Arabidopsis thaliana: one gene and its partners. The protein of the gene in region 1 interacts with the protein of each later gene in a pairwise test. Each region holds a gene or a part of one and is shown on either strand. Other genes may lie near its edges.

Region 1 (8,311 bases):
AGAATCAAACCCGTGCGGCTGCTGAAATCCGGTTATGTTACGGTCCACAAAAATGCCAATGGAACACGGACCGTGCCTTAGAACATTACGGTTCATCTGTCTGAACAGTTCCCCATCGTTTGTAGTCTTCCCATCGATTCTCTGGTGTTTATGAAACGGAAGAAATACAATGGAAACTCGAAGATCCTCTGTTGCGTTACAGATCTCTTCGTGCATATTAAGCATCTGAGTCACGAGCTTCACTTGTTGGATCAAGATTTTGCTGTCTTTAGCAAACGAATCAATCGAATCGTTGATCTCTAAACCTTCGTTGGTCCCGAATTCGTCATCTCCATTCGCATTGCCTCCATCTTCGTCGTGCTCATGATACATCAGTTCCGATTTTCGTTTCTTGGGGAGGGGTACAAGGTGCATAAGCAGAGGTGTAAACGGATCAGAGGCTCCACGAGAACCGCTCAAGGCCGAGACAAGAGAGATCGCACCGCGAGCATGACGGACTCCATAGGCGCACGATAAAATGCGTAATTCCTCGTTCGTGTTATGAGACTCAAGCGAAGTCTTCTCGTAAGCAAAGTCCTTCTCTCTTGTTTTAAGCAAGAAAGATGCCAGAACACCACTTACTAGCGTCGTTATCACCAAAGCAGCCACCATCATATCATGAATAGTTGTGGTCCACCATTTCTACAGGTAGATTCAGACAAAGAATGGGAAAAAAAGAACCATAAGTTTTTGTTATTATATATGTTAATTGTTCGTCTGTTCTTGACCAAAATATACCAGACCCTAAAACATGTGTAACATTTTTTGTTGTTTTGTTGTGGGTGTGCAATAACAGACACTCTACAATTGAACAAGACTTAATGTGAATGGTATAAAAGTAGCGGAATCATATAAGTAAACGTACCTTTTCGGAATAGTTGGAGTCTAGAAGAAGAAGACCGACATGGCCTTTAACAGAGAGAATGGTGGGTAAGAAAAGCCAATATTTCTTAGGGATCTTCAGGTACATACAAGCGCTTATTACACCAATAAATTTCCCAGCTATGGTTACAATCACGATAATAACTATACCGAGGTAAAAGCGTTTGGTTAACGCGATGATGCTGAATCTGAATCCAATGTAACCAAAGTAAACCGGAAGAACAAACTCGTGAATCGGGTAACTAAGCCGTTGTATCAACGTTCTGTGAGTCTTTCCTTGTCGTGGAAACATTATGCCAATGGCGAAAACAGAAACCGAGGAATTTACATCGTAGGATTCGATAGTTATACCGATGATGAGAAGGAAGATGAAGAAAACTAAAGTTTCAGCCTTTGAGAGGTACTTCTCTTTAGGGTTCCTCTTTGGAAGCCATGGAGCTAAGACCATGTTGATCAATATTAGGGCTACGGTTGCCAAAAGAAACAAGAAGAGTTCAAGTATGATAGTTCCAGAGATGAACGCCATGATTATAGTGTAGAGAACCACGTTTGTTAATTCGATGAACAACGCACATGAGATTGTCAGCCGTCCGATCTCACATGTGTTGAGTTTCCAATCAGCGATTGAACGGACTACGACAGGAGATGCCGTGTTAGACAAGGTAACGAGAAGAACCAAGAAAAACGTAAAGTAATCTTCTTTGATCCCAAACAAAGGGATGAATAACATTAAGGAAGCGAAACTGAGGAGGCCGGAAACCACGAATGAGCTCAAGGTTATCACCGCAGCTTTCTTGAAATTTCTTCTCATGAAATGTAGATCCACTTCAAGACCGATCAAGAACATGAAAGATGTCCGTAAAGCGAAGGAGAAGAAGGAGTAATAATCTGCTGCATTTTTCTGGAGGAAGAATTCCTTAACTTTAGGTATTCTTGAGAGCAAAACAGGACTCAACACAATCCCAGCCTAAAAAATATCCAATATGGATAACAAAACAAAAACTTGTTAGACATTTTCCACTACAAAAAACCGGGTGATTCTTGTAACGCAAGAAAGAAATTTCCTTACAAGAATCTGGGCAACGGGACCAGCTTGGCCGCAGGGTTTAAGAAGGAGATAAAACAATTGAGAGAAGACGAGAATGCAAGCCATTTGAATAAACATGGTATTAAGGGGATTAAACAGTTCATCTCCTTGAGGTAAGCAAAGCAACAACTTTGGATCCATCTTCTTCTTCTTGATTCGATGATCATGAGCATTCTTCAAGCGTGATGGTGATGATACGCTTATGAAAATTAAACCTTATGTTAAAAAAAAAACTGAAAATGCTTTCTAAAACAAGAATTTATAATTTTCACAAGTAATTTAGAAATTAAAAAAAAAAAAATTAGTTTACATTTGGTTGGAGTTGATAGATGTGTTTACAATTATTTGAACGTCCTTCAATTACTCTACGCCTCTATTTCAACCCTTGGAAAACGGATTAAGTTGACTGTAATCAGAAATTTTACCCAAAAAGTTTACTATAATTAGGTTATTATATGGTCAATAATCAACAGATTTAACACCATAAGTCCATAACATATTTCTTATCTTTTGTATATATATGGGAAGTTAATTTTTGTGTTTTGTAAACAAGTAAAACATAATACAGATGCTAGTAAAAATGACAATTTGCAAATTACCTCTTAGCCTTACAGGGTGTTGTTTAACCAAAAGAAAACTAGAGTGTTCATGGCATAATAAAAAACAAACTATAGGGGCTGAACTATAATACACATACTGTTCAGGATACAAACGAAACATGAGAATAATATGGGGTCCAAAAAGTAAATAAATAATCAAATAGGAGTTCTTTGCAATTAACGCTAAAGTGCGAACCTGTAAGTCAAATCATGAACCCTAAAAACCCCAGGTGAGAAGAACGGAGAGAGAGAGAGAGATGTCGTTCATGTATGAGAAGAGCAATACATGGAGATGGCTAGTGATGAAGACGCGAGATTCGAGATCCTTCTTCTTCACGTTCGCTGCTTTATGTGGTGTCATTCCTGGCGTTATTGGCTATGGAGTTATGCAGGTCACCAATTCCAGTAACCCTGAGCTCGAAGCCCGCCTCCGTAAATCTGCTCGCCCAGATACTCTCGTATGTAGTTGGTTTTCTTCTATTGATGCTAATCGGTGTTGAACTTGATGGTTACAATTTGTTCGTACATAGTTCCTATAGTTGTCTTGCTTGATGTGTGGAACTTTTCTTGGAGGATGAGTAGAACTTTGCTTGATGATGATTCTTTCTGCTACTTTGCAAAGCTCCTATGGGATTGGGTACCTAGAGGTTAGAGGTGTTTAGGCCTCGATATGTTGAATTGAGCATTTGCATTTTCTTGTTGCTAATACACCAATCCATTGTTCTGTGTTAACAAGGAATTTCATGTATCTGAGTTCTTGCTCTGCTTCACAATGTCGATTCAATTGGAAGTTTATTGATCACAGCCGTATGTTAACCTTAGGCTTATTGTTAATCTTCAATCTTTTTGTGTTATGATGAACAATACATTTCTGTTTTTGTATTGTTAGATGATGGGTAAAGTAAACCAAGAGAGGCTAGCTGAATATCTTGGTGAGTTGAAACAGAAGCAGGATACAAACGACAGATACGTTGCTGCTCTTAGGGGAGAGACTCTTACCAGGAAGCCTTATCAAAGAATCCAACCAATGCCAAAGCCAGATGACACGGTGACAACCAAAACTCAGTAAGGATGAATTATTTTAAGAGTCAATGTTAGTGAATGCCTCTCACTCGAATCTTTTGTCGATACAAAAATGGCGTGTTTCCTGGCCGTAATATCTTTTGTTTTTGAAACCGGCATCTAGCGACACAACTTTTGTGCTATGCAAACGGCTACAATGTCAATCACTTCAAACCTTTTGTTATGATGAATAAAATGTAAAACTTATGTTTTGTAATTTGTACATTGCTTCTTCATTCTTGTTTGCAAAGTTAATGTTTTACAGTACATACAGAATTACATGGTACACGCTGATTGTGGAACATTGTCAGAAACACTTGGCAAACCAAATTGTAGATTCTACAAAGGAGATGGCTATGTGCAAGCGATTTGTTATGTGCAGAGATAAAGTTTGTTGGCATTGATCACGTGTAAAGCCGTGGTCAGAAAAAAAGTTCGTGGCCATTGATCATGTGTAAAGCTTTAGCCGGTTCGTGATCCTTACTCGACAGATCGGGCAATTTGATATTTTGGATCCGCAATCTCCACAAGTCTGCAAAAGGAAAATTGCAAAGGTAAGTTAAAACTGGTTGTTGATTAATGAATGGGTTTGAGTAAACTAAAAGCAATCGGTGAAACTTACCATGTGGCCACAGCTGAAAGCCACGTCTTTTCGGTTAGTCAGACAAATCGGGCAACTCTGTTAAACGGAAAACCATATGAGATTGGAGTTGATTCGACAAGGCAGAAAAATAGTAAAGTATACAAATTATGAGACCTGGGTTTGTTCAGGTGATGCAGGTGATGCAGTTGATGGTAGTTCAGCATTAGTTGGAGGTGTGTACGGAATTGGTGGTGGCCTCGGAACTATTGTCTTCGCTAAGCCCGTCTGCTTCCTTTATAGACGGGTGCAGAAGTGGACAGGGACCAGCAGAAGCAATTAGACAAAAAAAAAAAAAATAGAGCAGAAAGACGGTAGTTCTGTTATGCTGAGAACTTATGGAAGTACCCGAGTAAGCGGAGTTCGATGGCTGCTTGATACTGAAAGGGAATCTCCATTAGAGCAGCTAGAGCAAAAGCAGTTTCTTTGGCAGACTCTGGTGAGTTTCTCGTCATAATCTCTGTGAAATTCACAAACTATGCATAGACCAGAGATCAAGAAGATGCTCAAAGCAGAGAATATAGATGGAAAATAGCACAGAAACTGGGAAGATACCTGAAAGTTGTCGAATTCACGCTTAGGGATCTTATCATCGAACTTCCTCATGTCTTCCCATGGTCCGTCTCCAACACCGACTAAAACAATCGACAAAGCATACGAGCTGTAGATAATAAAGGAATTTCGAAAAAGGCTTGTTTAGATACCGCAAATCGAGTTGCGAAAAATGAAAAACTGAATCTGCATTTTTTTACCTTGCATTTACAATCGCGTCGATGGTTGTTTTCTCTTGTTGACTGAGTTCTCCCTCGGCCATATCCGTACCTCTCGTTACCTTAACATTCAAAAGGTAGCCTTTTAAGTTTTGGTATCATACTTTGTTTCTCTTAACTGCTTGTAACTTTACCTGTCCATCTGCAACAATCACCAGAACATGGAATTGTCCGTTGTTCTTCTCCACAATGTCGACAGCAGCATCGATGAGCGGTCCATACGACGTTGGCCCTTTTGAACACGGAAGGTTGTGATTTGGTGATAAAGCTATGGAAGGTAGTATTTAGATTTTCAAAGAAAGACCTGATAGACGCAAGTTGGGTGCAATTCTCTTGTAACATGCTAAGACCTCTTCGAAGCCATGACATGGAGAATTGTCGCTATGGAAACCGAACACTTCCTCGTCATGAGTTGTTGCTGGATAGTGCAAGAAAACAGAGTCTTAGAAACAGAGAGTGAACTGAAGATGATATTTTTGGGAAAGAAAAACTTACAATCGCCAAAGCCGAAACAAGGGATGAGATTGTCTTCATCAAAAGGAGCCAACGTTTGGCCGATTACAAAAATCGCCTTTTCATATGGATTCGAAGTTTCGCCGAGCGCGTGCAGACATTTTCCATCGAAAGAAGTTTTCCCTGAAACAGAACGTTAACCACTTTTTTGTTTACAGTTGCAAAAATATATATGTGAATTTAACAATAAGTTGTATTTGCTGAAGGTACCAGTCCACTCGTTGCTCTTTGTGAAATCAACTCCGAGAATGAGATTGGATGATTCAAGACCAGCTTCTCTTAGAGCTTTTGATACCTTTTAAACACCATTCACTAGTTAACACTCAGTAACAACTCTCCATCTCTAATTAGTTTCCAGACAATTTTTTTACTCAAAATCATTTTATGTCCCAATGTCAACGAATGAATGGAGGAGAAAAAAAATAATCATATACATCTATTAGACTTTTGAAGAACTCAAAGAACATGGAAGTAGCAGAAGACATGGTGAACCAAAAGTCAAGTCAACACAAGAAATTGAGAGATACAAAAAAGAAGAGAACCTGGTCGAGGGAAGAGAAGCGGTCAGGGATGAGAGCGTACTTCTTCTTGGTGGCGTTGGTATTATCGGCAAGGGAGAGTGAAGGATCCGACGGTGATGGTTCATGAGATTGAGACGACGTCGTTCCCAGAGTCATATTTCTACTGCTTCTGCTTTTTCCACTTCCAAATCTCTTTAAGAAATTCCCCATAGTCATCTCCTTTCTTCTTCTTCTTCTTCTTCGAATTGGAATTCAGATTTTTTTTCTTCTCTTGATAATGGATAGAATCTTTTTTTTTTTGGGCTGGAATATTTAAGAAGACTACTCTTCAAGACGCCAAGGAAACATTTATTGCTTCACTGTTCTTTATAATTTTATTAATTTCATTCTACGCGGCAACAATCATTACTTTTCTATGTCAACCACTAATTGTTGTTATCTAAGTATTTTTGACGCGGCCAGATGGGGACTTAAACATTTATTTACTGAACCCACATGAGTTCGAACGAAAACCTAGAAAAAAATTAAACTATATATTATACACTGAAGATCTTATGAGATTTGATATAAATATAGGATCATTAATGCTAAAAGAATGACTTTGTGAACAAGATGGAATTAGATACTCTTCTTATGTGCTAATCTCAACTTGCAAGTTAATTTCTCCATTTTTGCACTCAACCCGTTTCTTTACTTGAAGCTTACTTTGCTCAAATTAAAACGGCAGAACAATACTGGGCTGGGCCTTTTATGAACGTTATGGGCTATATTCCTCTTCAACTTTTCCTCAAGACAAAAACTTTATTCAAATTTTACTCATACATGACAATAGCAATTGAAATGTGGTGCCGTTAACCGGTATGATCAAGCTGGACCGGTCCAGAGTTTCGGGTACATGTTTGGATCTAATCTGGGCTTCACACAAGCCATCAAAGGATTAGCCATGAACAGATTTTCTTTTGACTCGACTAGCTCGACTCTGTCCGTCGTACCAGGAGGAATGGTCCAGTCGAACCCTTGGAGAAGCCTACCCAACAACGTAACAATCATGGACGTTCCAAGCTTAGCTCCAACGCAGCCGCGTCTACCAGTTCCAAATGAAACAAGTCGTAAGTCTGGTTCAGTCAACACCACTTCGTTGCCGGTTATATGGCGCTCAGGCCTGTAGATGAGTGGCTCATCCCATGTCTTAGGGTTTCGACCAACACCCGGACGACTCACTAGAATATGACTGCCTGTGATCCACATCAAACAATCAATATATTAAAGTTAATAAACAAATAAAATAATAATTTGAAAGATTCGTATGTCACAATCTACTTATTTTCACTTTTCAGTCCAAAATAATAAATCAAAGGAACAAATATTCTAATATGAAAATATTGCTCAAATCAAGCAAAAATAAATATAGTTAGAATTCCTGATTCTACATTTAAGGAGTTGGAGTCAAATACGCCTAAATGCATAAATTTTGGGGAAAAATGAGATACCTTTTGGGATGAAATAGCCAGCGAGAGTTGTGTCATGACGTGCCATGTGAGGGACAAGGAAAGGATTGGTAGGGTGAAGTCTCAGGGTCTCTCTGCAACAAGCTTTGACGTAGTTTAGATTTGGTACGTCGGATTCTTGAACAAGTCTTTCTTTTCCGACAACCATATCGATCTCTTCCACCGCTTTTTCTAGAATCTCTCTCTGGTTCAACATTTCCGCAAGTGTCCACTCTATTACATTCACTGCATTATCAATCCCTACTACATCAAGATCCTGCCAAAACCAAAAAGAAACCATAACTTATCAGATATATAATATACAAACTAATTGGTAGTAATTATATGAGTATATTTCTATCACGAACCACAGAGAGATGTGTGATTTCTTGCGGGGTAAGCAACGGCTTCCCATTCTCATCTTTAAGAGTGAAGAGAATGTCGAGCCAATCCTTGATCATAGGAACATCATTCTTCGTCTCCGCACGATTGTAGTCTTTATTCTGCCCCCTCCACAACTCTATCTTCTCATCGATAATCATCTTATTGTACCTAGCAATCACATCAACGGCTTCTCTTAACTCAGCCTCCTCTCCCTGGAGGTTCCATCCTCTTAAGAAAGGGTAGTAATCGGCTACGTAAAAGCTAAAGAAACAATCAAGAGCCGCGAAAATTGCGTCAAAATGTTCTTTCTCCATAAGTCCGAGACTC
Region 2 (7,995 bases), on another chromosome or scaffold:
TTTTGTTTTTTATTGTTTGGTGATCTTTTATAATTAGCTGATGTATCTGATGAAGTATGTTGATCTTTGCTTTGCTGATTTTGATTTTTAGATCTTAATAGTGTATCTCGAATCTGGATTTTTGTCTTTTTTGTTTTCTTTTGATTATATTAGGATCTATGTTTCGGAACTAGCTCAGTCTATTTCAGATTTGTCTCAATCCAGTTCATTTTTTGTAAAGCATAAGTCTTTAGTGTGTGAGGATCATTTCATTGGTTGTGTTCGTTTCTGTTATTGTTGATTTCTGTTCTTGGCTGATGAAACTGTTAAAAAAAATACGATTTTTGGAAGATTGACTAGATCCACTTCACAAAAGAATGGAAATTTGAATCTGGTTGTATCGATTTAGAGTGAATTTGAGTGTATCTGTTTGTAAGTTTGATGTGTCTTTGAGGCTTTTTTACTAATTTGGATACTCTGCACAATTTCTGTTTTGGCAGGTATCTTTCAGAGTTACTTGCAGAGCGTCATAAGCTTACTCCATTCCTGCCTGTGCTTCCACATGCATTTCGGCTACTAAACCAAGGTGAGCATTACTGTTTTTGTTGTTTATTATTTGTATTTTCATCTCACATAATACTTCATTCTTTGCTTCAGATTCATGAAGCTATAATACAGTTGATAAACTCTTAAACAGTACTGCTAAGAGAGACCTAATTGTTAGCTATTAGAAGTAGATCACGAAATGACTAATTCTATATTTCTTATACTGACTTCATTCTATTTAACCAGAGTGTATTTAACTAGAGTGAGAGCAAAAATATATTTTAAGCTAACTCAATTAACTATGCTGTCTCTCCATTCATTGGTGTCTTGGTGACTGATTTGTTGACTAATTCTAACTGGTGCGTCTTACTCTTGCAAATTGACATTTTTGGAACAGAAATTTTGCGTGTAACCACACTGTTGGAGAATGCTACAGTTTTAAGTCAGAGTGGGCTTGACCACCCTAGCCCTCTGGCTTCTGGAGGGATATTTCAGAATGCAAGAGCTGACATGAATGGATGGGCCTCCCAGTTTCCATCAGAAGTATGACTACTAACCATTAACATAACTCTCTAATTCATACTACTGCAATAGAAGTTTTATTGACTTAAGTTATAATACTGACATAACATATTTGACTGCTTTTAGTCCTAGTTTATCATGACAGGTAGGCTAACACTTCATATCCGTAATGTTTGTATGTTCATACCTTAGATCAACACTAATTAGATACTCCACTATCCTCACGAGTAGGATTGAAATTAATGCTATAATTTTCTCATATATCTGTGGTCACTGTATGCATATTATTAGGATATAACAGCTACAGGTTGAAATGCCTTGATACAGTGACCACTCTCATTGAATGAAGTTCCAGGGCAAGAAGTTGCAGTATTCATGTGCTTATGCTTAAAGGTTGATCTTGCTTCTAATTTTGTTGGTTGATCATTTGCAGAGATCTGTTCCATCATCTCCGGGACCAAATTGGCTTAACTCACCTGGTAGTTCGTCCGGTCTCATCGCCAAGCGTACAATCAGGGTCGATATTCCAGTCGACAATTATCCGAATGTATGAACTTTCATTTCTACACTGAGATATACTACTTCCTGGTTGGAATGTAACTCCTTAATTTTCTATATGGCAGTTCAATTTTGTTGGTCGCCTCCTGGGTCCTAGAGGAAACTCCCTGAAGCGAGTTGAAGCAAGTACTGATTGCCGTGTTCTTATAAGAGGAAGAGGAAGTATAAAAGATCCAATTAAGGTATTTATTATTAAACTTTACAACTTCATTTGTATCTACATTTCAATGTTTGTACAAGGTGTTAATATATTTCTTCTTGTAGGAGGAAATGATGAGAGGAAAACCGGGATACGAGCACCTAAATGAACCACTTCATATCTTAGTGGAAGCAGAATTACCGATTGAAATAGTCGATGCACGGCTCATGCAAGCTCGGGAAATACTTGACGATCTTCTTACTCCTATGGTTTGTTTTTAGCTCTCCCCCTCCCTTTGATTTTAAACCAGTTATTGTTACAAAGTTTTCACACTCGGTTTCTGTTTTATAGGAGGAAACCCATGATATGTACAAGAAACAACAGCTGCGCGAGCTAGCATTGCTCAATGGAACTCTTCGTGAAGAAGGATCTCCAATGTCCGGTTCTGTTTCTCCTTACAATAGCCTTGGTATGAAGAGAGCCAAAACAAGAGAAGGGTAAAAACCATCGAACAGTTTGGCTGTGATCATAAAGCAATATGAAACCGATCCAAAAGTCGACACAAAAAGGCCATACCACTCTTGACGACACGGTACTGTCTCTTGTCCTTGGGGTAGAAATGTTGTATATATGATTTATGAAATGTGTTTGTCAGTCTATGTATCATTGTCCCGGAGAGAGATCAGATGACAAAATTGCAACGGAAACACAAGAGCTGATGAGTCTCTGTCTCTCTCCGAGACTTTGATTTTGTTTTTGTTTATGTTTTTATGTCTGGAAAGTTGGGTTCCAACAGTTTTCTTTTAAGTTTTTTGTTTATTTGTTGTTTTAGCAAAAAGAAAACATTAAATCATGATGATGGTTTGTGTCTGGTATTGGTAATGATAATAATCATAATATGTTTTGGATACATAAACGTCAAAGTAAAGCTTGTTTCAATATGATATGTGGAATTATGTAAAGCAAATGTTCTGTTCTCGAGTATTTTTCACATTTTTATTACTGGAAGTCGACATTTTCTATTACATGTCAACTCTGTTTTCAACATTGAAAGATTACTTGATTAAACTTTAAACAGATCTATATATTTAAGTAAATCGGTTAGTATACCCATATGTCAATCGGTTTAATGGCCTGTGACCCTTATAACCTAGTTTCTTGTGATGCAAGGTAGCTTTCCTTTACTGTTTTACAAAAAAGGCCTATTCAAAAATTGTTATGTACTTTATATAAAAGATAATTTTAAAATCCTATCGAATTTGGTAAGAGTAACATCTTACATATGAAATCTACCATTCACAAATACTACTTTATTAGTAATATGCAAATGCATAACAATTTTTGTAATGTATAGATTTTATTTGCATATAAGAAAGTGTTTTTCTTTTCATATAAGAAAGTTTTTTAAGAACAAAAGGAACATATGTCAAAAAAAATTGTGATAAGTTTTCCACTTTTCCCTTTTCCCCTTAAGGTACCAAATCTTTGCAATCTGAAATAAATATCATTTTCTTTTGATTTCCTGTTTCTTTTTTGAAAATTTCTTGTTTAATCCTTCTTCTATTTTCTTTTTCCAAATTTGCATAACGTTTCTTATTATGGACAAAAGAGTCAATGGGCTCCGTCAGTAAACGATTGGGCCTTATTATAGCCCATAAGTACAGAATCTAGCTCGCTACGTGGCAAAGCTTCACCGCTCGAAAGAGAGGAATCTATATAAACCGTATCGATGCTAACAAGTTTCATCTTCAAAACAACCCCTTGAGATTTCCGAAGATCATCAAATCCAAAACCCTAGAAACCGAACAAAAGGTAGGTCAAAATTAGCTCCGATAAATCTCGATTTCGATTTGAATCATCGTTACTCTTAGGGTTTATTCGTTTCCCAGTTCTTGATCTTCGTCGTTTGATTCTCTCGCGGTTTTGTTTCCTTGCGTCGATCCATGTGTTTTTTCTGTTATCTTGGTTCTAGAATATTCTCGTACCTACTTCTGATGATTTACCTTTAACTGATGCGTAATTGCTTGATCTGTTTCTGAATTGTTCGTTGATTTTCTCTCTGTTTGATCGAATTCTGATCGGATTGTCTCTTGGGCTTGAGTGTTTGATTTCGAGATTTTTCTGGTTGATTTCTTCAGGAGGTGTATCTTAGGCTAATTATCAAAGCTGATTTGCATAAAGTCTTTCCTTTTAGGATAGCTATGTTCTTGCTCCATATGTTAACTGGTTTTTGCTGTGTACTGCTTTTGCATCTGTACTTGTAGCAGTATAGTAATTTTTTTGATTTGATTTTGTTCCTAGCTAGCAGAAGCTAGGACTATTCAATGGCGTCGAAAAGAATTAACAAAGAGCTTAGGGACTTGCAAAGAGATCCTCCTGTGTCCTGCAGTGCAGGTGAGTGTTTTAATCTATGATATCTACTGTGAAATTTAAAGAACCACTTTGATAGATTCAGTAGATGATGTAGCATTAACCTCAGAATCAGTTTTAGGAGAATGTTTTTTTTTTTGTCCTTAAGATACATTATGAGCTATTTAGATTTTAATGAATTGGTGATGTTATTAGGTCCTACGGGAGATGATATGTTCCAATGGCAAGCAACTATCATGGGTCCAGCAGATAGCCCGTTTGCCGGAGGTGTGTTTCTTGTTACCATTCACTTCCCACCAGATTACCCTTTCAAGCCACCAAAGGTAACAGAAGTTTTTTGTTTTTTGTTATGTTTATTTGTGTAGCTTAATGAATTTGTTCATCCACACCATTATGATTTAGAGAGAGTGTTCAATCAAGTAGGCTTTTTGTGGCAATAAACCTTCATTGTTTATGATGCAGGTTGCCTTCCGGACCAAGGTTTATCACCCAAACATCAACAGTAATGGAAGTATCTGTCTTGACATTCTGAAAGAGCAGTGGAGCCCTGCACTTACCGTATCCAAGGTGATCAAATTGTTTCACTTCCTTACTTTTTAGTATAGCATTAGTCTATTTTCCACCACACCTTCTTGTGACCATGTCTTAGTTAAATGGTCATGTCTTAGTTCGTTCTCTGATGTGATTATCTTCTTTGACCAACCTCTCTTTACATTGGTTTTATGAACAAACAACATCGCAATCCCTTGGATATAGTCAAGGCCATTATCATAAAAGATTGAGCTCTGTTATTTGTACCCTTGTCTAAATGCTGTGATATGGATTAGTCAAGTAAATTCTAGTTATCTCTTTTAATAGGAGTGTTACATTATGTTATAATGTTTAAAGGCCTTCATTATCGCTGTTGATGACATGTTATCTAGATTTAATTTGTTTAATGACTCTCATTAGCGAGACAATGATAATCTTTTATTTGCATATAAGCTGAAGAACTAAAGTTGGTGGTGCAATTTCCGCAGGTTCTTCTGTCGATATGCTCATTGCTGACGGATCCAAACCCTGACGATCCTTTGGTTCCTGAAATAGCGCACATCTACAAGACAGACCGAGTCAAGTACGAGTCCACAGCTCAATCCTGGACTCAGAAGTATGCAATGGGATGATAACAAGCAATAATACCCACCACCAGTACATTGCGTATTAAACAGGAGAAATAAGAAAGAAAGAAAAAAACTCAGTTTGGCTTTTACTTTGGCTACTTTTGCTTATTAGTTTTTTTTTTTTAATTATATCTTGAAGCTGTGTGTTGGGTGTGTACATGAGCTTTATGCCTTATTTGAAACATTGAGATCTTGCAAATGCTTTTAAGCCAATAATCCGCTATCATGATGAGTCCCTTGCTAGTAGTGTAGAAGAATATCACATAAGTTTGCAGATAATAAAACATTTGCGCATAATAGTGATTGTGAAATTAGATTGGAGTTGGACCAACACATTTTGGTGATCGTGACAAGTTTATACGGTGTTAGATTCCTATTGGCAAACTACTATAAAAGTCTTGAGAATAGAATAACAACTGAATATGACTATTGACTTGATCCATTTGTACGGTTTTCTCTTTCTTTTTTATTTGAAAATTTCAAATTGGGTTTGGAACAAGTTATATTTAACTGGTTTACGAATTTAGCTACTTATTCGGTCTTTTTCATAGCTGACAAAGATACATAATGTATATAGCTGTTAAATAAAAAAATGAATTCCGTGTGACTTCACCATTAGAACGCGTTTTTGGTTGGGTGAGGTCTGATGTGCATCAGAAACAAGTGATTATTTGGGGGGAAATAAATAAATTCGAAGAAGAAGTGTTTATAAATTTAAATCAAAATGTTGAATTCGGTTAAGTTTGGTCGACCATACGAAGCTTCAAATATTGATGACATTTAAGAAAGAAACGCATGAGGTAACAGTGTAACTCAACAGTTAATGCGAAATACACGAATACACGCGATGCAAAAACCGCAGAAGAAAACGTGCGCAAGCAATTTATTACCAAATTGATCCCAAAACGACGTCGATTCGATTCACATAAACCAAAACGACGTCGGATTGATGCAATCATATAAAAAAGAAAGGCGTGGAAGGAGTTAATAAAACTTGGAATGAGACATGTCGGCCATTTCATGGTGTTAAGAAAACAGAGCCCTCAAATACTTTTTAAAAAGAAACAGAGTGCACCAAAATCCTCTTAATTTTCTCAAAATTCAAATCTCTCTACAGATCATCTGAGAAATTTTAGATTCTGGAATCTATTTGATTGTCTCTCTCTACAGATCTCTCTGTATATAGAAAGAGGTATAACTGTCTATCGCCATCTTTATCTCCTTGGCTTTTTCTCTCTGTTACAAACTATTCTTCCTATTTTTAGATATCTTCTCTCTTTGTAATTTACCTTTCGTTAAACACTTTAAGGATTCATTAGGGTTTTTGTCGATTTCCTTCTGCATTGCTTTTCCTTCCTTTTGGAGGAATTTTTAGGTCTCGGAGTTTTGATTTCGACCTTTAAATTTTGCTTCAGAGGAGAGATTCTATCCGTTACAGTTCGTGAATTTCGCGTTTGAAGAACTTGAACTTGATTCTGAAGAATGTCAGGTAAATTTTGAGAAGAGATAAAATCGATCAGTGAAATGATTGTGAAATTAGCTTCGTTTTTGATGTATATGGAATATATTGCTACAGGTCGAGAACAAACAGGAGAGAAACTATCAGATTCTGAGTACATAGAAGAAGAGCCACGGCGTTCTAGAATTGGGAATTTGAAGAAGAAGGCTTTTAGTTGTTCAACTAAACTTACACATCCTTTGAAGATGAGAAAAGGCAAACGTAAAATCGATTTCCAGATTCCTTTGATTGAAGATGTTAGAGATGAGAAAGAGGAGAAGCTTGTTTCTAAATTGCGTCAACAACTTCTTCAGAAAGATTTGTTGCCTCCAGTACATGATGATTATCATATGTTGTTGAGGTATGAAATGAGCTACCAAAGTTCCTTCTTTTCTTATATACAACTGGAAAGTTGAAGACTTTTTTATTTGTGTCTCTGTGTAGGTTTCTGAAAACAATGGAATTCAAAATCGAGAAAACTGTCACGGCATGGGAGGAAATGCTTAAATGGAGGAAAGAATTTGGAACCGATCGCATTATACAGGTACGAGATATGGTTTCAGCTGTGGTTTCAGAGTAGTAGCATCTTGCTGTGGAACTAACAACATTTTACAAATTGATAAAATAGGATTTCAATTTCAAAGAGTTGGATGAAGTGACAAGGCACTATCCTCAAGGGTATCATGGAGTTGATAAAGATGGGAGACCTATTTATATCGAGAGACTTGGAAAAGCTCATCCTGGTAAACTTATGGAGGTTACTACTATAGAGCGATACTTGAAGTACCATGTTCAAGAATTCGAGAGGACACTTCAAGAGAAGCTACCTGCGTGTTCAGTTGCAGCTAAGAGACGAGTTACTACAACTACTACAATACTAGATGTTGAAGGCCTGGTATGGTAAACTCATGTAGATGCTTTAAAGGAACCACATGGTTTTTCTTGAATTATAATATTGCTCTTGTGGTTGTTCAGGGTATGAAGAACTTTACTCCTACCGCTGCTAATCTCCTGGCCACCATTGCTAAAGTTGATTGCAATTATTACCCTGAGGTACTTAACTCTTTGATGAATACACTTTTTGTACTAGAAGCTCTACTCCAAGTATAAAAGGGGATAATATTTGTGATGAATCCAATGAGCCAAGTGGACATGGATGTTTCGGTTGCTCTAAAAGTTTGTAATCATGGTCTCTGACTCTTGCAGACTTTGCACCGAATGTT
Region 3 (7,809 bases), about 13 Mb from region 1:
TTTAAAAACGTATCATTCAAATCACGTTCTCAAGTGTAATTAGGATTAACACGAATTTCTTACCCAGAACACAGATTGTCTCCCCTTCAATCCTTCAAACTTTGTAAAACAGCAACTGAAAACTTCAGATTCTTCACCGTAACACAATTTCGATTTTCGTTTCTTCACCTTAACAGAATTTCGATTTACGTTTTTTACCCAGAATTCTAATCTAAATTATCAAAATATCTTACAATATAATCTCTATTATAATAGGTAATCATGAGTTTTAGTCTTGTCAAAACTATTTAGCATTAAAAACTTCTGAGCCCAACGAATTTTAAATTTTTTTTATTCCAATCTCAAGTGTCAACTTCGCCGAAACCCAGAAATCATTTAATGCATTTCTCGTCGATGAACAGCGTACGTACGAACCCGGTTCTTTTGGATTCCAACGACGCGGTCCGTACGTACAAACCGGGTTCAGTTTCGTCAGGTCGTCAGGGGCATTTTGGTCAGTTTTTGGCTTAATGGCTAATAGCTGAAAGGCCCTGCCCACTTTGTCAAAATCTGAAATTAAAAGTGGATCAATGGCTACTGTGTGCAATTTACCCTATAAACAATGATAGGTTAGGTCATCTCTTCACAACTCATTATATCGTTCAACAACAACACAACTCTCTCTCTCTTTGATTCAGCCTCTTCAATATCTCATAACCTTTTTCTTCTTCGCCTCTCAGCTTTTGTTCATCTTTCTTCCTTCCTTTTTGTTTTGTGTATACCAACGAATCATGGCCACAGCAAGAATGAAGAAGATCTTCAGCTTCGTGATTGTGATATTTACACTTCTCTTCGGTTGTTGTTCGGCCACCGTCTACAAAGTGGGAGACTCCGATGGATGGACTGCCAAGGACCACCTCTATTACCATTGGACCGAGGATAAAGAGATCCACGTGGGAGATTCTTTGATCTTCGAATACGATCACAACCTCAATGACGTCACACAAGTCTCCGGTGGTTTGGAATACGAATTCTGCGACTCTTCTTTTCCTAAAGCCGTCTACAACACAGGACATGATGTCGTAACCTTCACGGAACCAGGGTCTTACTACTTCATCACCTCAAACCATACTCAATGTACATCGGGACAGAGGCTTGGCGTTTTTGTCGTCCATGACCCGTCGAGTCCGAGTCCTCTACCACTACCGAGCAAGATTATTCCTTCTAGACATGTCTACAAGGTTGGTGACTCCAAAAGTTGGGGCGTTTACGACAGTGATTTCTATTACAACTGGAGTAAAGAGAAACAGTTCAATGTCGGAGACGGTCTCCTTTTCGAATACAACAATGAAGTCAACGGTGTCTACGAGATCAGCGGTGACCTTGAATTCTTAAACTGCGACCCGACTTCTCCAATAGCCGTGCATAAGACAGGCCACGATATCATCAAGCTCACCAAACCAGGAATCCATTATTTCATTAGCTCAGAACCGGGTCACTGTGGGGCTGGTCTTAAGCTCCAAGTCGTGGTCGGAACAACACTCAATGTTCCAAAGTTGTCACCTTTAGAGCGTCTCACAAGGTGGTTAGACATTTTAAGACACCACTAAGCGTCTGTGTCATCTACTCAACCATATGCTACTTTCGTTTTCGATTGGTTTAAGATTTGCTAACTAATTACTAGTTAAAAGTCTCTTCTTTCTTATTTTTTTTCATAGTTTTGTTTATTTGTTAGTTCTGATTTTTCATCGATGTAACTGTATATGGAGTTTCTTCCCATTGTTATTTTAATAAATATTTTTTTATTGAAGTAGATTGGTGAGAATATTTAGAGGTGATCAATTTTGAAAATATCTTGAAACTCCATCAATTGAGTTTTAGAGGTGATCAATTTTAAACAACTTTTGGTCCTGTGATACTTGGCACCATCTCCACCCTACTGGTCCTAAAGTGGACTGGTATGATTAGGTGTGGTTCTCTTGAAATATTTCCCCTCATGCTTTCATTGTTTGGGTGGCCAATAGAAATCGTTTGCATATTTGTGATAGGTTTATTAGTTGGGGGATTCAGGTCCCTTCACTTTGCCTGCTCTGCAATGCGCTTGATGAGACAAGGCAGCATGTGTTCTTTGATTGTCCTTTCTCGCACGAGGTATGGTCGTTTTTCTGCTCTAACGCACGTGTTACCCCTCCAAGGATGTTTAAAGATAGTGCAAGATGGCTTAGACATCCTTGCCGGGATAAAAAGGTGGCTTTCATTCTCAAATTAGCGTACCAAGCCTCAGTTTACCATATTTGGCGAGAGAGAAATATTCGGCTCAACTCTAACAAATCTTTCCCTTAGGCTTAGGGAAGAAGTTGGTGACAGTCACCTCTCCACCAGAGAGGAAATTTATTGAATAGACAGACCCAAATCAGAAAATCAAAAATCCTAATAAATGTATATATACATTTTTAGAGACATTTGGATGAAAAAAACATTTGTGTAATAACTATTGGCATTAATGACAACTTATTGTTTAGCATTAATTGATCTTTTTGTGGACATGTTCAGTACGAAATATAGATTCCCGCTCTCAGTGTTCTCTTATGTAATTCAGAGCTCTTCACTTGACATATTCCATAGTAAGAGTGAGACAAAAAGTTAGGTTTTGACATTTTTAAATGTCATCATTAACATATTAAGGCTTCTCTTTAATCTTGGTCGTGCATCAAACCTTGTCGTCATGGAACCACCACCTCGTCTCCTTAGGAGACCTCCCATTCTTACAGTTCTTCACATAACGATCGTTATCCGCAGGGCGTTGCTGCAATAAGGCGGAATAAAAAACACATTGATATTCTTAGTTTCAGACCTCATAATTCACAGTACTTTGGGTAACTTGTCAATAGGGAAACACGAAGAAGAAGAAAGAACCTTTGCGGGTGAACTTGATAGCATCGAAAGAATGCTGATGCAGACTGAATTCACTGTCATTGCTGGTGACCATGAGTCATATAGAATATCTGATAAACCAACAACACAGCTTTTCAGTTTGATAACCATGTATTGGACTGCTAAGTCGTAAATGGTAGTAAGAGTTGCATAATTTCAGATTGGTTCAGAGCTTTTTGAGGATTTTGATTAGAGTCCAACTTAGAGGCAAATGAGTACAGACACATGAGAGCTCTATGATATCTGAAAAAGATTTCGGTTTTGGTAAAGAATACAACCTACAATCTAAGACAGACGATTCTAATGCAATTCATCATATGGTAAACGTTTAAGTAAAAGCAAACATGGAGAGGCTGCTACAACATGTCTAAGTAACTCTATCTTAAACAATGAAGTATCATAGATACTAAGGAAAAGGATCTACACGCATGGGGGTATACAATAAAAACAGTTTTGAGTGATAACACTTATCAATAATCATCAACATATCTTAAAACTCAGCAATATTCACTTTCTTGTTTGACCAGAAAACTATGAAATGCAGAGTCTAACCGATTCTACATCTACATATCAATTCGACAAACCCTTGCTTTGATCAAAACTAAACATAAGCATATGCAGAGCAGACAGTAACCAAGAGATAGCAAGCAATACCTAAACAAATATGTCCATTGCTGTATATATGTGGATGTGAAGGTGCCGGAGAAACAAACACTACCTGCTCAACACAACAGGGAAAAATAAGTCATTCTCCTCCACAGTAGCTCCAATCCAAGAGACACCAAAACATAAAACAAAAAACTTTTTTACAATAAGTTCGAATTAAAACATGAAACATCCATAACAAAGTCTCTCTACAGAAGCAAACCCAAGAATTTTATCAGTGAGAGACTTCTAGCCAACCAAAGAGACACCAAAACCAACAAAAGAACACAGTTTGATTCAAAATCTCACGAATCAGAGAAAAAAAACAAAACTTGCCTGGGGTGCTTCCATAGGGTAATGTTCAGGAAATTCAACCTGAAGCTGATAAGTCTCATTAGCGTAAAGTGTCCCTGGAGCTCCGGTAACATCTATTGTCCATCTTAAGATCACACACAAAGATACGCATTCAAATCAAAATCACAGAAAGAAAAAAAACTCATTTCAAAGACAGAGACATAAAGGTTGATACTTTTGAAGATTATCAGTGACTTTGTGACGAAATCCAGTGGGGGGATTCAATTGCCACTCAGAAAGCTCTTTCTGCAACCTATTACACGCGATCTTGCTTAAAGCCTACGCATGAATGAAAGAACACAATTTCTCAGATTGAATCATCAAAGTTTTTGTAAAGAGAAACATGAATTTGAAGACATGTGAGAGAAAGAGAGCGACCTTGCGTGAAGGAGCGGAAGAGCTGGTCATGGCGGAGATGGAGACGGAGAGAGACGGGTCTGCTGTCTGGCCTCCTTACTTTGTCTTTTTTTTTTGTTTTCTGTTTTTTGTTTTTTTCTTATGCAAATGAAGAGCTTTTTACTATTCTTAATTTTAATATTTTTGATGAATAGTGAAAAAAAATCTCAATGAATTGATTTATTTATAGAAGTGTACACTAAAATCTCTATAAATTAATAATGTTGCACTTGCAACTGATAAAAAACTATAAATTTTAAATAGTACTAATTTAATGAAAAATTAATAATTATTCATTTATAAAAATATTTTGCAAATTTGTAGTTTTTAAAAGACATTATATTTAAAAATACCCTTTTTTATAAAAAAATATCTTTCTAAAACCAATTACAAGTACAAAACAATTATTAAGTTTTAAAAAAACAAAATATTTCTTTTTAAAGTAGTAAAAATATGAAAATTAAACTTTACAAAGAATTAATATAAAATTAAGGAAAATATAAGATAACATATGTTTTTCTATTGCTCTTACTCTATAGAAGTATGGAGTTCTTTCACTGCAAGGCCCATGTTTCTCTGCCATCTTTGTTTGATGCAGGAGTCAGATGCTTAAAAATCCTAGCAGGAAGAAGAACATTGCTTTGATTCTTAAGTTGGCTTTTCAAGCGTCTATTTATCTCATTTGGAGGGAAAGAATCTCTAGACCTCACAATAACTTTTCGAGGCCAAGCTCAGCTCTAATTCAGGATATTAATAACTCTATTAGATGCCGACTTGACCTGCTATCAAGGAAGCATCACTATAATCCTCAAAGTGTTTCTCTTCTTCTAACTTGGCTTGGTATATTTCATAGATAATGTGCTCGGGTTTGGTGTCGTTTTATGTGTTTAAGGTGTTACTCGCTAATTTCTGTGCAACCCGGGAGAACAACTTCCGCCCCCCCCCCCCAAAAAACAAAAAAAACTAAAGACGGACATGCCTCAGAAACGCAATTTCGCGGTCATCATCCTGAAAAATCGTCTCAACATGTGGAACAACCTTTAACATATGAAAGGTTAATGGTAAAGTAAAAGCATAGTTTTCTAACTCATCCGCTAGGCGGTTAGCCTCCCTATATACATGTGAAGTCCAGACTATCTAGTTCCTAGATAAAAAGTCATGACACATATGTACCACGAAAGACAAGGGATGAGAATCACTAATCCCCTTGCTTAAGAATCCAACCACCAACTCCGAATCAACCTCGACCTCTAATCTTGTGATATGTCTCTCCCAAGTTAGGTAAAGTCCATAGTAAACTCCCCACAGTTCCGCTAAAGGAGCTGAACAAACACCGATATTGAGAGCAAATCCTCCACACCAACTACCTGTTGCATCCCGTATGAGTCCCCCCGCTGTAGTCAAAACTGGATTCTTGTGAAAGGACCAGTCGTATCTAGCTTTAACTACTCGTCCCGCGGTGGTCTCCACGTTACCATTCGCTCAACTCTCACACCCGTACCTATACTCTCCCGAAGTGAGTTATGTGCACGGCTTACTTCTTGTCCCAATTCTCTGGTAAACTTTACTCTTTCCCGACATTTTTCCAATTCGCCAAACACATAACCACACCTCTATTTCAAGCTCCACCAAACTCCCATGGCAAACATTGGTCGACCAAGTGCTTTCCGCCATTTTTTCCATACAGCCCAAGTTTCCATACAACCATCCCAAAAGTATCCTTAAAGAATTCTCATCTTCTCCGCGCTAATACTATTTTGTTCGAAAAAGTGTCATCAAAGCTACCGGGATGGAAAGGCTGCTCTTTGAGTTTGCAAGAAGACTAACATTGACCAAATCAGTGTTGGCATCTATATTGATTCATACCATGAGCACAATATCTTTACCAAAATCGATTGGCGATGGTTTGGATAAAGTTTCAAGAGGCTTTTTATGGGGAAGTACACCAGAAAAGAGAAAACAACATTTGGTTGCTTGGGATAGGGTTTGTCGTCCACGGACAGAGGGTGGTCTGGAAAGGATTTGAACACATCGCTTGTGACAAAGGTAGGATGGAGACTGTTACATGATCATACGTGTTTGTGAGCAAAGTATTAGCAAGAGCTCTACTGCTCCGCCTTCAGCTCCTGAATCTGAAACAAGATCGAAGAAGAACTCAGATGTAGCTGAAGAGTTAAGGAGTCAAGACGATGTCGTTGCAGTAAGCAAAGAGAAAGGGATATTGGGCCACTCACCTAACAAGCCTAATGTCAACTAAAATGAGAAGCCTAGCAAGTCTGAGAAGCCCAACAAGTCTTCTTCATCTTCTCAACGGCTAAGTCCACCTGTGCAAGAGAACAAAGCCAGAATAATGACAGAGAAGAGGAGCGCTTGTTGTACGGCTCCAATCATCACAGAAAACAGATTTGATTGCTTGATGACCTGCGTAGCATAACAAGATTGAGACATCTGTCAGTTCACAATGATTGAAACCCTAGCATTGTTTAGCTATAAAAGGGAACTTGTGATGTAACCTAGAACTCAAGTGAAATAATATCAAAAGGAAAGTCACTCAAACATTACCTAAAGTAGCCGTCTTGCTCTTACTTTCATGGTATCAGAGCACAGCGGTCTATGATGGATCAATCTATCCAACTCTACTCACCTCCTGTTCTTCACATCTCCAACTGTGTCACTGTTAAGCTCAATGAGCAAAACTACTCTCTTAAGAAGACACAGTTTGAGTCCTTTCTTTCTGGCCAAAACCTTCTAGGCTTTGTCAATGGGTCACTCAAGCCTCCTCCTGCAACAACTCCATTCAACAACATCGATGGTCTTACTATTGAGGTACCAAATCCAGAGTATCATACCTGGAACAGATCTGACCAAGTAGTCCGAGCCTGGCTGTTGGGATCTCTGAATGAAGACATCATGCAGGAAGTTGTCAACTGTGCCACCTCCTATCAAGTCTGGAATGCTTTGGCTCAACACTGCAATAAGGTATCTTCATCACGACTCTTTGAGCTACAGAGAAAGCTTCAAACCATAGATAAACAGGATAAATCCATGGAAACTTACCTTAAGGAGATAAAGAGGGTTTGTGAACAGCTAGCTTCCATAGGCAGTCCTGTTAGTGAACAGATGAAGATATTTGCTGCACTTCATGGGTTAGGTAGAGAGTATGAGCCTATCAAAACATCTGTAGAAGGTTCAATGGATACTCAGCCACCACCTACCTTTGAGAGTGTGATTTCAAGGCTGACAGGATTTGCTGATAGGCTGAACAGCTATGGTCCTGATACTGAAACTTCACCTCACATGGCTTTCAATGCTTCAAGATCAGACTCCTCTGGTTACTACAACAACAACAACAACCGAGGAAAAGGCAACTAAAGATTTGGGAGTGGAAAAAGCAAAGATTCATTCTCCACACGTGGTAGAGGTTTTCATCAACAAATTTCACAAAACTCAAATGGAGAAAGAGTCATTTGTCAGATCTGTGGCAAACCTGGTCATCATGCT
Region 4 (8,191 bases), on another chromosome or scaffold:
AAAAATCCACATCTACAGGAACGAGGCATAAAACAAATATTATATGTGGCAAAGTGGATGCAAATAGGTTCAACGGGTAAGAGGAATCTTAGCTTACTTTAAGTGAGTTATCTGCTGATGCACTCATTAGCACCGGCTCATTGGCTAAAAAGTTCAATGAGATTATAGAACTGTCATGTGCATCCCTAATGACTGACTGAAGCCTTTTTTTGTTAAGATTCCAGATGCTTATGACACCAAAGGAACCTCCAGACGCAAGAAGGGGACGTCCATCTAACATGACAGGATAAACAACACATGTTAGAACTGGAAAGTATCGAACTTCCATTAGCTATAGAACGGTTACTACCAAAAGTTACTAGTAAAATTACAACCTACACTAATGGATCTCTTGAGCCTGAAACATGTATGGACAATTCTAATTCATGAAACAATGGGTGCATAGATGGTAAAGCTATGTAATGGAAAAATAAATATTTAGCTCCACTTAAAGACAAATGGACGAAATTATTTTTGGTCACTACACTCATAGGATATCTATCAGCAAGAAAAGATTGATAAACTATTATCCGCTACGAAATTAGATTTAAAAGGTAATAAAACCAAGAAGCGCTCAAAGATTTTACAAATAGAACTACAGGGCTTAGGTGTTTACCTGTACTGAAAGACAAAGCAGTAACAGCACCTCGCGAGGCATGTTCAAATGTTACGATCTCTTCGTCCAATTTTATGTTATGTACATGGATCTTTCCATCAGCACAACCAATTGCAACAACATCCAGGGCAGGGGATGAAACACAACTGGTGACAGATGAACCCCAACCCTTAAACTGATAGAGCATCTTCTTAGTATTAATATTCCATAGCTGCAGCGGACCCTCTTGGCTCCCTACAAGAACCTACCAATGTGGTTCCAAGTAAGAGAAACATGCAAAGAGTTAGAAAGGCTTGTCAACAGAAGACACCAGGGGAAAAAAAACTGAAATCCTGAACCAAGTATGACTCACCTTGTTGAGATAGGTATCTGGGTGAACAATAGAGGTAGGGGTAAACTTTCCAGTAAGCTGAAGATTTCCAATTGGAGCTAGATGTTCTTCGATTCCTTTGAATGCCCATATGAACATATTTCCTTCCACGTCAAGACTAAGCACATGTTCTCCAAACACCAGTAGAAGATCAACTTTAGCAACATGTTTGCTCCAAGTTGCTACCTATAGATATACCCACAAGAATTCCAACTATAAACAAAGTACTCATAGATATAAAAAAAGCAGCAACTTAACTATAGTTACAATGAGATATACCTGATGAGCACGCCTAAAGACAGCGATTTCATTGCCAAACGCAACAAATGTGTAGTCTCGGTAAGAAGCTAAAGCTCTAATTTTCTTTGGAAGCTGAGGACCTTTAAGATAACACAAATTAGATTATAAGAAAATTTACACTGCATAGACAAAACCCAATTCTAAATGCATGAATTTGAGTAAGAGAATGATTGAAAGGACAAAACTTTAGGTTTCAGAAGAAGGAAAAACTTACTGATTATGACTAGATTGAGCTTGGCACACTGCAACAAGAGAACCAAATTAACAACAGAATCGAATGAATAAAGAACACGCAAGTGAAACTATGAAGATTGGGAGCGTTACATTATAAATCTGGAAAGCTTTGCCGACGCTGACGGTGACGAAAGTCTCGGTACCCAATCGCTGGACGGAGAACGGAACCGTACTCGTTATGTAACCTATTGCTCTAAACGGTTCGAAAATTCCCATCTTTCGAGTTCGAACAAGAAATTAGGGTTTCCTCGGAAAAACGATTTTAGGATTATCAAATCAAAGAAAGGTTTTTTAAGAGCTTGAGAGAGAAAACGCGGCGCAGGAGCGATGGAGGAGATACAGCAAACAAGACCTTTGGGGTTTAGGGTTTAACGAAATTTCTTTGTCCGAATTTTAATTTTATTTTCCGGTTTAAGTGTCCGCTCGGTTTATACAGGTTCTTTATTTGGTTTGGAGAATGTTAAATTTGGTTTGGTAAAATTATGGTTCGGTTTTGGCTAAAAGTCATTGAAATGTAAAACCAAAACCATTTTAGTTTAATATTTAACTAATTGTCAATATCAGTATCAATTTTAAAATTATGATGACTTTTGGTTTAAATCTTGTTTAAATGTACAAAGTCTCGGTTAATGCTCGATTGCAGTTTGGTCTAAACTCTAAACAAATGATTTCCATTCGGTTTGATTCTAAGAAATTTGAGTTTAATCACACAAAATCCCAGCCGTCGGATCTTAAGAAACTCTGTAACATAGAAAGATTGGTGTTAATCCTAGCCGTCGGATCAAGCTTTCTTTGTTTAAACCACTCTTTGTTTTGTTACTCAGTCTAAAAGCAAATGTGGTCAAGATAACCATAAATAAAGATTATGTTGATACAAAGAGAGAAAAATAGTTATGAATCTAATAGACTCAGCAATAGAAATAACAAGACAAAGCTTGAGAAGCAACAATATCAATGTTTGTAACACCTAAAACATATTATTACCATAACTGAAATGTTCTCTCTCACCAAGGCAAACCAGCAGACAGAGACTTGTATATATTACTTACTCGGATAGAGTTGCTTTGAGATCACCACTCTCACTTAGCTCCATAATGATATCACATCCTCCAATTAACTCACCTTTGTAGTATAGCTGAGGAAAAGTTGGCCAGTTTGAGAAATTCTTAATCCCTTGCCTTACTTCTTCATCAGTCAAGATATCAAACGATCCGAAACTCACGTTTTCTCCTCTCAATGCTTTCACAACTTTGGAGCTAAATCCGCATTTCGGTTCATCTGGTGAACCTTTCATGAATAGCATTACTTCCGAGGAATTGATCAGTGCCTTCAATCTATCTTCAAGACTCTGTTCTCCAGTGATCCCTTTCTCGGTCAAGACCTTTTTCAGCTCACCGCTCTTTTGCATCTCCAAGACAATGTCTGATCCACCCATAAGCTCGCCTTTCACGTAAAGCTGAGGATAGCTTGACCAGTTTGAATACACTTTAAGGCCTTGGCGAACTTCGTCATCTAAGAGGATATCGAAACTCCCAAACTCGATTTTTTCTTGGTTGAGGATTTCAACCACTTTCCCACTGAACCCACACTTTGGTTCTTCTGGTCTTCCTTTCATGAACAGCATAACTGGTTTGGAATTGACCAGACCTTCGAGCCGAGCTCGGAGGGTCTCACTTAAGCCTGTGTTTCCTGAACTAACCCCTCCTCCTTTTCCAGCTTCATCCTGACTTTCTTTTGAACCAACTGTCGTGATCCCAAGATCTTTGAAAGCATCTTTTAGTTCACCGCTCTCGTGCATCGCTATTGCGATATCAGCTCCACCAAGAAGCTCTCCGTTGCAGTACAGCTGAGGAAACGTTGGCCAGTTAGAGAATTTCTTCAAACCCTCTCGCACTTCGTTATCCGATAGTATGTCAAAACTTCCAAAATCAACGTTAACCTCTTTCAAAATGTCAACTACTTTCCTGCTAAACCCACACCTAGGCTCTTCAGGAATACCTTTCATGAATAACATGACAGGGTGAGAATTAGTGAGCTTTTCCAAACGGCTCTTGAGAGCATCGGCGGTAGATACAGGCTGAGCTCGGTCTTGTAAAGAAGCTTTCGCATTCTCCTTCACAGTTTCAAGAATCGTTGGCCCAGCAGCCAACCCTAAGCTTGCAGGAGCAGCAGGCTCCGCAGAAGTACTAGAACCAGCAACTTTGCCAACCTTATTAGCTAAACTTGATGGATCTGCACCCTCAAGTGTATCCACAGTTTTACCATCCTTCAATAAGAAAACGAATTCACAGTCAGAAGAAAGTAACAACTTTCAGAACAATCATTACAGTGCAGTGACAAAGATTCAAGCTTTGAACACACTCTCAATCCTATAAAGACAGAAAATTGCAACCAACCAATTAAAACAAAGAATCAATAAGTCTGGAGCTAAATGGATAGGCGAACCATCTTCTTCTACTACCTGATTAGATAAACAGCTTTCAGTAATCTAACAGAGACGCAAACTAATCAAAACAAAAACCCTAAATCCTAAACTTTCGATCAAAACATAGGGACAAAGATTCAAACTTTTGAACACACTCTCAATGCTATAAAGACAGAAAATTGCAACCAAACAAAGCAACATAAAGAATCAATAAGTATGACTTCATCAATGTCTTCTTCTTCTACCAAATTAGACAAACAACTTTAAGCAAAAACAAAAACCCTAAATCCTAAGTTTTGATCAAATCATAGGGAACAAAAAAAACGTAACTTTACCTTGAAGAAGACGAAATAAGGCACAGCAGCAACAGAGTAAGCCTCAGATATCTCAGGATGTTCCTCAGCTTCAACCTAAGAAGATAAAACCAATAACAGTCAAAAACCTCATTGAAAGTGATAAAATTTTGAATTGGTCAAGAGAACAGAGACGAACCCTAAAGAAGTGAGCACGAGGGAAATCAGTAGCGAGATGAGAGAAAACTTGATCCATCTGCTTCGAAGCATCACACCAAGAAGCCCAGAAGTGAAGCACGACTGGTGCGCCGCTCTGGCGCAAGTTATCAAGCTCCGCCTTTGAAACGATATCCTTCACCGTACCGCTCATCTTCGAAGAGGGAGAAGGATCTCTTAACACTTTTTTTTTGTGTTGTGATTTACCAATTTATTATCGAGCAGAATACACTCTGTTGCTGGAGAAAGAAAGGAGATTTATGTAAATATAACAAAATAAAAGGACCTAACGATACAATTAGGGTTTTTGTGTGCCCAATGTGATGCTAAAATTGCTCACTTATGTAATTTCTTTTTATAAAAATAGTAAAATTATATATGTCAGCGGAAGGAAAAAAAAATTGGAAATTAAGTAAGGTAAAAATGTTAAAATTCTAGGTGATAACAATCTTTAAAAATAAAATAATTTTGAAAAATATTAGATACATTTAAATTAAAACTACTAAAAGTAAGTTTGACTAATAAAATCTTAATCCTATTTTTTTCTTTCTAAAATTAATACTAATTAGAGGAATTGTATATATCAATCCTCATCGAATTGGATTCTCATAAAACAGTCTAAGAATTAGGTTACAATTCTTTTTTTCTCCTTTGTTTTGTATGTGTGGAATTGTTTAATTCTGTTATATTAAAAATCCACAATTATTTTAGCATTTGTATTTTTAGTTATTTTATTATACTATCTTTTTTTTTAAATGATATAATATATAAGCTTACATCATTTAGATAATTGATGCATCTATTAATTTTTGTGTAACATCACTATTTAAAATGATACAAAATTTACATCAATGGAAACTGATACTAGTTAACGACTAATCATCGACTATAAAATGTGATGTAAATGTTTACTTAATTTGTCAAAATCCTACATTTCTCCCACAAAAAAAGAGGTTTCATAGTTTTCTTACATATAGTGACCTTGGTTTTTTGGTGGTGTAAAAAAATATAAAACTTAGTATGCAAAGTTTGCCTTCATATTAATTAATGAAATTACATAATACTTTTTAAAAACAATTAATTGAAAGTCATTTTATTTAATTAACATCGATTATCCTACTATATTATTTGGGAAGTACATTTTAAATGTAACCTTTATTTTTGTAATTAATTACATGATAATGCCATTAGAAAAATTTAATCAAAAACAAAACTCTTTAATGACGTCATTAAGGTTACCAAAACTTTGATAAATATAACGTGGTCTTACCTAGATATTCCTCTGGGTATTCTTGTGATTCAATTATGTTCACGTCTGATCGGCGAAGACGTTTAATAAGGGGTTTGTTCTCGGTGAGAAACCTTTTCCGAACATAAGCATCTACAGATCGGATGTAGAACCCACGTTGAGCCATAGTTTGTTTCATATTGTCAAGAACCGTTTTCAAGCTCAATTTCTTAGGGATGTGAACATATTCTACATCCCACAATTCCTTAAGAAAAAAGAAAAAAAAGTATACTGATCCGAAAACAATTAACAAAAAGCGAACAATATACTACTACATTACCTTCATAGGCTGCAATCCACCTCTATTAGTGACCACGTTGGTGCTTAGATCTTGCATTGGAGGAAATCCTTTTGGATGAGGAGTTTTTGATTTTGATAAAAACTCATCTCTACCACGTTCAACTTCTTTCTCTTCCTGTTTCTTCACACTGCGTCTTCCCTTTCCTCCAGGTTTTCCTCTTCCTCCAACCATTGTTGACAGAATCGGCGCAAAATGAGGGTTCAGACGAAATGATGGAGGTTTGTACGTATTCTACACCCTCGGTGATTTATTATATAAATATCAATTTAAGAGAATAACCTACTCAAATCACTAACTAATCCATGATTATTATATACTCATACTTTGAGTTTGGATTACAAAAAAAATATTCGAGTATGAAAAAACTATTAAAATGGTTTTATTGAAAAATCATGTAATATTAAAATAAATTTAGTAATAGTACATTAAATATGTAAAATAAAATAATATAAAAATAAATAATAAATGTATCATTAACCTATAAATTAGAAGTTGAAGAGCTTACATTAATTATTTAATAGACACATGACAAATATATATGATTTTGACCAACTTTCATATATATGATTTTGATAAACTGATGCAAATACTTAGAACACTTACAAAAAGTGATTTAAAAAGATAACATCTTTTTTTTTAGTTGACTCAAATTAACATTAGTTACAACAAGCAATGCAAATATTATGTATACTTTTAAATTATTTGCATCAACAATATATACATCATTTACTTAAGCGATATAAATTATTTGCATCAACAATATATACATGAGTCCACTAACCTTAAAGCCAACAACAAGATTTAGAGAGTCTTAAACTTACAATTGGCAAAAAAGACTCACTCATTACATCAACCATCTTGCAACATGAGAGCAACTCTTAATCGCATATTTACATTTGTTTAAATGGTGCAGATCAAGATCTTTTAAATCCCTTTTTAAGTTAAGTAGTTGCAAGTTGCAGAGACCCGCAAGCATCAGAAGCATGCTTGCCTTCTCCAAAAACCAAGTTCCCTCTCACAAATGTCGAAACCACTTTGCCTGATAATCTTCTTCCCAAATAAGCTGAGATACTCTATTGTACACCACAAGAAGCAAACATAACATAAAGATTACACATTCGTGTTATTCGAGCTTAACCATTAGCTATCTTTCTAGAAAAAACTGTGTACTTACAGGGTGTTTGAAGTGAATTGGATGATCTTCATCTACATCAAATTCGGCTTCAGGTTCCCACACAACAAGATCTGCGTGTTTTCCAACCGTAACCGCTCCCTATAATTAAACCATTACTTATAAGCTGCGATAAATGGACCCCGAATCCTAATAAAAACACGTCTATATTATGCCAGTGTGCTGTGTATGGACAAAAAAGAGAATACTGAAGCTGCGTTTTTTTTTATAATAACGAACCTTAGAGTGTAGTCCAGCGAGTTTGGAAGGCCTATCACTCCACCAAGAAGTTACCTGCTCGAGCGTTACTCCATACTTTTTTCCATAAGACCATGTGATAGGAAGAACAAACTGCAATTGGCTCTTCCATGAGTTTTTTTGTGCTCTCACAGTTTCTACATATTACATTTTTAAGACTAAACGAACCTGTAAAGAAGATATCCCACCCCAAGCTTTCAAGAAGTTGCCATCACTCATAAGTTTGAGTTCAGGCTTTGTAGGTGAATGATCAGAGCTCAGCATATCAATGTCTCCTTCCTAATCAAATCAAAACCTCAGAATCAACGAGTAAGGTATCACAACAAAGATTGCGTAAAATATATATTATACCATCAAAGCTTCCCACAATTTTTCTCTATTTGCCGCATCACGTATAGGAGGGGAGCATTTGAAACGAGTATCACCTTCTGGAATCTCTTCGGCTGAGAAAGCTAGGTAATGTGGACATGTTTCAACAGTAACACTGTCTCCTTTGCCTTTTGCTTCCTTTACTCCATCCAAAGACAAAAAAAATATGTAATGAGATACAACCAAATTCTAGTGCTTCTACTGCTTGAACTCTTGAATACCTTTATCAAATCCAAGGAAGAACTGGCATCAGATAAATGTACAATATGAAGATGAGCTCCTTCTGCAGAACCACCAATTCTTGTGTTTTC

What was found.
Region 2: the proteins of RGLG4 (region 1) and UBC30 interact in a two-hybrid assay, tested with the Arabidopsis thaliana proteins (one study listed by BioGRID).
Region 3: the proteins of RGLG4 (region 1) and ATUBC2-1 interact in a two-hybrid assay, tested with the Arabidopsis thaliana proteins (one study listed by BioGRID).
Region 4: the proteins of RGLG4 (region 1) and GRXS17 interact in a two-hybrid assay, tested with the Arabidopsis thaliana proteins (one study listed by BioGRID).

What each region holds. Positions count from the first base shown.
Region 1 is NC_003070.9:29,858,830-29,867,140, reverse strand, and holds RGLG4 (Ca(2)-dependent phospholipid-binding protein (Copine) family), read right to left. Parts: upstream 6,651-8,311; 5' UTR 6,330-6,650; coding exon 6,135-6,329; intron 5,888-6,134; coding exon 5,803-5,887; intron 5,716-5,802; coding exon 5,575-5,715; intron 5,498-5,574; coding exon 5,384-5,497; intron 5,312-5,383; coding exon 5,214-5,311; intron 5,142-5,213; coding exon 5,062-5,141; intron 4,971-5,061; coding exon 4,865-4,970; intron 4,786-4,864; coding exon 4,658-4,785; intron 4,545-4,657; coding exon 4,427-4,544; intron 4,349-4,426; coding exon 4,292-4,348; intron 4,202-4,291; coding exon 4,118-4,201; 3' UTR 3,825-4,117; downstream 1-3,824. Other genes in the region: CHX2 (cation/H+ exchanger 2), read right to left, coding at 1-681, 905-1,888, 1,991-2,149; AT1G79390 (centrosomal protein), read left to right, coding at 2,865-3,065, 3,497-3,676; CYP79C1 (cytochrome P450, family 79, subfamily C, polypeptide 1), read right to left, coding at 6,978-7,348, 7,604-7,877, 7,969-8,311. UniProt on the Arabidopsis thaliana protein: Possesses E3 ubiquitin-protein ligase in vitro.
Region 2 is NC_003076.8:22,725,688-22,733,682, forward strand, and holds UBC30 (ubiquitin-conjugating enzyme 30), read left to right. Parts: upstream 1-3,327; 5' UTR 3,328-3,556; intron 3,557-4,045; 5' UTR 4,046-4,068; coding exon 4,069-4,138; intron 4,139-4,309; coding exon 4,310-4,437; intron 4,438-4,576; coding exon 4,577-4,681; coding exon of another isoform or gene 4,682-4,714; exon of another isoform or gene 4,715-4,945; intron 4,946-5,133; coding exon 5,134-5,277; 3' UTR 5,278-5,628; downstream 5,629-7,995. Other genes in the region: AT5G56140 (RNA-binding KH domain-containing protein), read left to right, coding at 480-565, 923-1,068, 1,481-1,594, 1,671-1,787, 1,870-2,013, 2,096-2,245; AT5G56160 (Sec14p-like phosphatidylinositol transfer family protein), read left to right, coding at 6,757-6,763, 6,851-7,133, 7,217-7,316, 7,401-7,667, 7,748-7,825, 7,979-7,995. UniProt on the Arabidopsis thaliana protein: Accepts the ubiquitin from the E1 complex and catalyzes its covalent attachment to other proteins.
Region 3 is NC_003070.9:17,027,848-17,035,656, reverse strand, and holds ATUBC2-1 (Ubiquitin-conjugating enzyme family protein), read right to left. Parts: upstream 4,447-7,809; 5' UTR 4,321-4,446; coding exon 4,291-4,320; intron 4,192-4,290; coding exon 4,088-4,191; intron 3,998-4,087; coding exon 3,895-3,997; intron 3,632-3,894; coding exon 3,568-3,631; coding exon of another isoform or gene 3,515-3,567; exon of another isoform or gene 3,151-3,514; intron 2,985-3,150; coding exon 2,896-2,984; intron 2,786-2,895; coding exon 2,690-2,785; 3' UTR 2,388-2,689; downstream 1-2,387. Other genes in the region: AT1G45063 (copper ion binding / electron carrier protein), read left to right, coding at 771-1,561, 2,004-2,322. UniProt on the Arabidopsis thaliana protein: Accepts the ubiquitin from the E1 complex and catalyzes its covalent attachment to other proteins.
Region 4 is NC_003075.7:2,515,278-2,523,468, forward strand, and holds GRXS17 (thioredoxin family protein), read right to left. Parts: upstream 4,786-8,191; 5' UTR 4,648-4,785; coding exon 4,477-4,647; intron 4,395-4,476; coding exon 4,320-4,394; intron 3,826-4,319; coding exon 2,605-3,825; 3' UTR 2,319-2,604; downstream 1-2,318. Other genes in the region: AT4G04940 (transducin family protein / WD-40 repeat family protein), read right to left, coding at 1-12, 98-273, 656-899, 1,008-1,211, 1,305-1,405, 1,540-1,567, 1,650-1,775; ALN (allantoinase), read right to left, coding at 7,024-7,155, 7,257-7,355, 7,494-7,604, 7,680-7,790, 7,863-8,018, 8,102-8,191. UniProt on the Arabidopsis thaliana protein: May only reduce GSH-thiol disulfides, but not protein disulfides. Participates probably to the maturation of iron-sulfur proteins and to the regulation of the redox state of the BOLA proteins.